2 linked regions of the Kluyveromyces lactis genome follow. The protein of the gene in region 2 interacts with the protein of the main gene of each other region in a pairwise test. Links are inferred from orthologs where the notes say so. Each region holds a gene or a part of one and is shown on either strand. Other genes may lie near its edges.

Region 1 (3,279 bases), on a different chromosome or scaffold from region 2:
ATATATTGTCCAAGATCTGCGCGCGCTCTCTGACGTTGGTCTGTCTGAACGTCCCGAATGCATCATGGGCAATTTCGATAGCCTTGTTAAAATCTGAAACACCGCAGTTCGTAACCTCACGGATCGTATCACCGGTGGAGGGATTGGTTACAGCAAACTTGTCGTCAGTTTCTGTCCATTTACCGTTGATAAAGGCCTTGGTTTGTATCAAATAATCGTTCTCAATTTTAGAAGACATCTTTCTTAATAGGTTTAGCGTTCTTAGGGTATTCGAGTTGCGGAACATCTTAACTCTTGGAAATAACACACTCAGCGACTTGACAATTTGTTAGCCATTAGGATCGCCGTTTATATACAAAGTTCTGCTCTTATTGCTTCATGCTTGCTCTTAATAGCAAAAAGTGCGTCATATTAAATGTTATATAATATCCATTATGTAGTGTAGAGATGATACACTATTTAAGGTTGGAAAGAGGAGACGGAGCCGAAGTTAACATCAGCATGCATCAAATTCTGATAATTCTTATTTAATCTTGCTATGCTCGGTCTATATATTGCTGTATAATCACTACATTTTGCTATGCCCTTTGCTTAAGGCACCTAAATATTACCAAATCCTCTTTGATACCATCTTGTATCTTTCAACGGACTCTAGCGATTTAGGATGCTTCAGATCTCTCTTGGTTCTTTGCTCGTTGAGGCTAGGTGGGATGCTTGCCTTCTTTTCAAAAGCAGCGAGTTTTGGCGATCCTGGTGGTGTAATTGTTGGTGAATAAGTTCTTGTCTGGCTAGAGTGTGTCATTTTGCGGGCATCCTCATCCATCATTCCTCTTCCAGCAGAGAGATGGCCATTGATATACAAAGGATCTGGGTGCAAGCTGGCTTGTTTGTTTTGGATATGTAACGTCCATCTCAACAGTATTGCTTGAAGTGTTAGCTTTGTGAGTAGAGCCCATAGGAATCCAAATATTATCAGAACAGTGGACCAGATGATATTATTCTTGATCGTTTGCCTGATGGCAGGCCATACCAGTACTAGGAAGGCTACTATTAGTGGCGGGAACGGCAAACCTAACCTCTTTTGGAATTGGATACTGTTGGATAGGTTGTCCTTGGAAAGAATTTGCAAATACCTTTCATAGATATGCGCTCTGATTCTGTTGAATTTGATAATATATGCGTGCTTGATCCAATCCACTATCAATTCACTTCCAATTACTGTGACAATCGGCCCTATAAATATACCAACTATCAAGGACTGTGTAGAATGAACATTCCATGAGTGTGGTAAAACATCGCGCAAGCTCTTTCTTGCTACGATAAAGTTTCTCACTGCAATGACCGTTAGAAATACGATCAACTGGAATCTTTCCACGACGTCAGCCATAGTCAATTGGAACAATCCTTCTTTATCAATTCTCTTGAAAACTGCAGATTTTAACTCTGAAAACTGCATTGACAACAGTAGCGTCCATAAGGAGTTAGAATACGAGTTTACCGCAACGTTCATGGCAAGAATCTGGTAGATGTATATCAACGCGTGGAAACTTAAACATAAACAACATGCAATATATAGCATTACCATCTCTGTCTTATGTTTGGCACTCTTCTTGAGCATGATAATTGAATATAGATCAAGGCCAACACTTGATAAGAGCTTTTCTGTCATCTCAAGAACCTGAAATATCATGTATAGTTTAATAGCATTTTGGCCCTTAATTTTATGATATATTCTTGAGGTGTCAAGGACATTCAATATCGAACAGGGTCCAAGAATCATCGCAGTAGTAAGAAGCTCTTGTCGTATTCTTTTAGGACCATCTCGTTTCACCACTAATACATGGAATACCCTAAGTGGTATAATGGTAAAGTAATACAAGAAGCAGTTCAAACAAGTCAATATCGCAAAGACAAAGAATTGCTCGACTTGGAATGGTACCCTCAGTATGTTCGCAATCTGCTCCAGATCATATTCAACAGACTTCTCACTCTGATCACATGGTTCCTCTTCGAATACCTTGGCTGTTTGGGGAAGAATCTCCTGGTATATAAAGTTCTTTATCGATGATGACACCGTATTCACGTCTTGTTCAACCGATACCCTTCTCCCAGCACCAGAACTGCTTTCCTTAGACCTCGCCTTTCGCCTTTTGAGGTGGGCTTCAGAATCCTGTGAACTCATTTGTTGAGGCACAACTGACCGGTTAGTGCTAAGGACCTTACTTCGTCATGGATATTTCTTTCTTCTGTTGTTGTTGTCTGCTCGAATTCGATCTACATTGAATTAAAATAAAGTCCTTGCTTAAATCACATCGAAGGGTTGATAGTGCCAAAGTAAAGAAGGTAAACTTAAGAAAAGCACATGAATAAGGGACCTCATACAGCTGCTTGACCAACTACGACCGTGAAATAATTTACCAAAATAATTAGACTATAGCAATGGCTACCATTGAAGAAATCAAAGAGGTTGTATTAAAACCCTATACAAACCATCGACAATTGACCATAAGGGAAGTGGAAACTATAAGTATCAATTTAATAGACTTATTGATTACAAAAGACGTGAAAGATGCAAGGACGATGAAATACATTTCAAGGTTCCTTACCAAACAGGATTATGCGGATCTAGTCCAAGAAAGGAACTTGGTGAAGCGTTGTGGATATCCACTCTGTAGCAAAAGCCAGGCGAGAGTACGTGATCCCTTCGCAGATGTACAGATGACCAATTTCTTAAGACAAAATAACCCATATGCATACCTTACAGAATACTGTACTAAGGCTCATTTTAGATGTTCACAGTTTTACCAGTTTCAGCTCTCAGACGAGGCTTTGTTTGCTAGGGTCGGTGTACATCTTGACGATTATGAGCCACCTAGTGAGATACAATTGCTCGAAGAAGTACTAGCTAGAGAGTCTGATGTTAAGCAGATGATTCGTGGTATGACTGATTTGAAACTCGCGGACGATGATAGTAGAGAGGAAATGGAAAGGGATATCAGTGACATGTTAGCTGATATTAAGATCGTAGAGATCAACGAGCCAAATATCATTGGAGATTTAGGACGAGATAGATGAAATGACAGAATGATGACAAGTACAAACATATTTGAGGTAGAGCATTTTGACTCTATAACTCAAAATATATGGACAATCCTGCATTATATAGTCATACATAAAATAGTTTTATTTACGATTTAACTTTCACTAATTGATCTGGTCTAAGGAACCTCCATTTAACAAGCAAAGCACCTAAATTTTTCTCTTCGGTAAATGGGTTTG
Region 2 (3,618 bases):
AGATCAATGGATGTCTTCTTATCAATTTTTGACCACTAAGACAATCCAAAAACAACGACTGAAATTGGCAGTACATGGTCTTTATCACTATGAAGATTACAATGAACTTCTAAGCTCAACCATGTTGGACCAACCAACAACTGACCATCCTGTAATCTGCCACGCAAGAGAAGGACTGCAAGACATTGCTTTACAGGCTCTCAAAATTTTGCTAGTTATAGGAGGGATCAAGAATAAGGAAGTTTTGAAGTATTATTTCGAAACGCTTTGTTTCCACCCTGATGTATATATAAGGACAAAGTTAGTTGATACCTTCGCTGGTGCAATTGATCTTATATCCTCTAAGAATAGCATATCTGAGATTGAAGACGATATTGATTACATGATGAACGAGATATGCCCCACTGACCCCACCACAGTAGCATCGATTGTTGTTGAAGATTTCACCAAAGAAGTTGCCCATAGAAGGGAAAAACAGTTGAGATCATCTATCAATGGTATGATAACGCTAACAAGACAAAAGTTCAAGGATTATGAACCTCTCAAAATGATAATGTGGGACGTGCTGCATTCCCCATTGATAAACGTATATCAACGGAAGAGGCTTTTCGATATAGCTAATGTGATATACCAACTGTACGATGCATACAACGTTATTTTGCCAGTCCCAAGGGATAAAAAGCTCGTTTGCAAGAATATCGGCAACAACACTGTAGTCATAAAACGTGAAGGAATACTCAAAGTTCATCTTGCACCACTGAAACCAGCAATTGTGGAACCAAAACATCCACCCACCACAATAAAAATTACAATACCGAAGAAGTCAACTTCCAAACCAAGTATGCCTGCTGTAGCAGCAAAAGCAAAAAAGAAGCCATCATCTGTTAAAGGTACTGTGACGAAAGTAGGGACGTTGCCCATCAGATTCCTCAAGATTTCCACTAAAACAAATTCGGTACATATTTCATCACTACCGCACAACCCTAACGTATCGATACTAAAATCAAATAGAAGAACCCTTTCTATAAAATTGAAAGTTCCGGCAAACAAAAAATGATTACATTAATGTAAGACATAATAAAATATTGTGAATTCTGCATGTACACCTTCGCTAACTTATATTTAACGTTTGGATTATTTGTGTCTATGTATGACGTATGCCGAAATAGTCAGAGTTTTTGAATATAATACCGGGTAACATAATCTTGTCTTTTTATTTGCAGTATGCAGTCAACTGTATCTTTATTCATTTTATTAAACCAACATTGGACGAACAACATACTCAGATGAGTTACACAAATGGAATAGCACCCTAGTTTAAGCTAGCAATGAACCAGTATAATACATGAGATATCTAGTATTTCTTTTGGTGCTATTTCTTGGGGTGAATTGTGAGGGAGATAGTGTACTATTTTCATCTGCAACTGATGTATTTGAAAGACCCAAACCGTTGAAAGTCACGACGGCTTTAGCTACGAAGAATTCAAACAAAAGCAGACCTTTACAAGTGTCTATGTCATCAACCATAAGGAATGTGCCTTTAGCTACTCAAGGCAAAGACAGTTCAGTCTTTAAATCTTTCAATGAGTGGAATAAAGAGAAACTGCGACAAAACAAATTAGCACAACAAGAGAGACCAAAACGTTCATTATTTCATAATAACAATAACGGTGATGTTATAAGAGACGAACTAGAAATGGACTTTGAGATTTTTAATGATGATGAGCCCGAAGGGAAAATCTACAAGGATAAATTTAACTATGCATCGGTTGATTGCGCAGCAACAATCATAAAAACGAATTCAGAAGCACAAGGAGCTGTCTCTATTCTTTTCGAAAACAAGGACAAATCACTTCTAAACCCATGCTCCGTTCCGAATAAGTTTTTTGTGGTTGAGTTATGTGAGGATATCTTAATTGAAAGCATTGTGATGGCTAACTTTGAGTTCTTTTCTAGTACGTTCAAAAATGTTAGATTCTCCGTGGCAGAACGATTCCCTGTACCAAAAAATGGCTGGAAGGTTCTTGGAGAATTTGAAGCTGAGAATATTCGTAATACTCAACAGTTTACAATTACGAACCCAATGATCTGGGCAAGATATTTGAGAGTTGAAGTTTTATCTCATTACGGAGAGGAGTTTTATTGCCCAATCACTCTCATTAGGGCTCATGGTATTGCAATGATTGATGAATTCAAAATGGAAGTCCAAAACGCAGGCGAGAAACTCGAAGAAGTGGTCTCAATTGAGCAAAAACTGGCGGAGGAAAAAGAAAAGTGCATGATACCAAGTTCATTCTTAACTAATAACATGTCAATAAACTTTGACCTAGACATCAACCATCAGTGTTTAGCATCCTTAAAGCACATGAATTTTGATGAATTTTTCACTGGTTATAAGGACAATGAAAATATCACTCAAGCAAAAGATTCATCTTCATTTATCCCGATAAATACCGAAGAATCAATCTTCAAGAATATTATGAAACGGCTTTCAGGTCTTGAAACTAACGGCACTATGTCTATTCTTTATATCGAGGAACAAAGCAAATTATTATCGAAATCCTTCGATAAATTAGAAGATTCATATAGTCAACAATTTGAAGCATTGGTTAAAGCATTCAACGAAACTATGACCTCGAATCTGGAGAACCTTAATCAATTCGCTTTGCAGCTTAGAGAAAGTTCAATTAAAATTATTGAAGAACAAAGATTGGCTACGGATAAATTTATCTCAACAACGACGAATAAAGTTGAGGAACTCGAAAATGCATATCAACACCAAGCTCGAGTTATGTATTTAATCCTTTTCGGTCTAATTTCGTCGATAATATATATTTCCCTGACTAGAGAATCCTATTTTGAAGAAGAAATGGTTGATGATGGTTGGTATACCGACAACTCTTCACTTCAAAAGCTCAAAAATAATATAAAAAGATCTGTGTCAGAAACAAAAGGCCATCCGTACACGGAAGCTGCTCATTACTCACCTATATCTTCCGACTCTGAATTTGAAGATGAGGACAGCATCGTAATACCTGCCAAATAATATGTTCTGTCTGTATTGTTCTATAGCTTTTATAGCATACCTATAATTCTGGAGAGATCTTTGATTTTAGAGTCAAATTGTTCTCAAAATGTGAATGCGCAGAACAGATGAGAGCAAAGATCTTAGTCATAGACAAATTCAAGGATATCATTTGTTAAAGGAGAACTGATTTAACCGTATATATTTTACACGTTTTCTATCGACTATTCAAAATTGTAAGGTAAGATATTCTTTAAATGTTCGGAGCAAAATCTGAAGATACACACTTTCGTAGTGGTGTCGGTAATCTGAGTGCTCGGGCATCTTTAGCCCTTGGAACGTCCACTAAATCTAATTCGTTATCTATAGATGATGCATCAGAAAGACTTCTTTTCGCTGAAAATACCGAAGCAGGGGTCCAAGGAGATGTTATTTCCGTAGACGACGCTGAACGGCTTGAGCCATGTAGTTCGTTATTTTTGAGAATCTCTTCCTTTAGTTCATCAGAACTCGGAAGTAAAACACTCTGATAAATTTTTAGCGGAAGCTCATCACGAATAGGGCCTTGTTGGCACAGCTCCAAGCCCACCATT

The links. The genes of interacting proteins can lie anywhere in the genome.
Region 1: the proteins of SLP1 (region 2) and EMP65 interact in binary tests that used the Saccharomyces cerevisiae proteins (3 or more experiments, as listed by UniProt). The link is inferred for Kluyveromyces lactis from reciprocal best matches to the Saccharomyces cerevisiae genes SLP1 and EMP65.

Annotation. Positions count from the first base shown.
Region 1 is NC_006042.1:1,171,625-1,174,903, forward strand, and holds EMP65 (Emp65p), read right to left. Parts: upstream 2,183-3,279; coding exon 608-2,182; downstream 1-607. Other genes in the region: KLLA0_F12628g (NAD-dependent succinate-semialdehyde dehydrogenase), read right to left, coding at 1-286; RNA polymerase II subunit B1 CTD phosphatase RTR1, read left to right, coding at 2,440-3,075; RRG1 (Rrg1p), read right to left, coding at 3,188-3,279. UniProt on the Saccharomyces cerevisiae protein: May be involved in membrane protein folding.
Region 2 is NC_006039.1:181,630-185,247, forward strand, and holds SLP1 (Slp1p), read left to right. Parts: upstream 1-1,345; coding exon 1,346-3,046; downstream 3,047-3,618. Other genes in the region: transcription initiation factor TFIID subunit TAF2, read left to right, coding at 1-1,057; KLLA0_C02233g (uncharacterized protein), read right to left, coding at 3,279-3,618. UniProt on the Saccharomyces cerevisiae protein: May be involved in membrane protein folding. Required for localization of MPS3 to the nuclear envelope.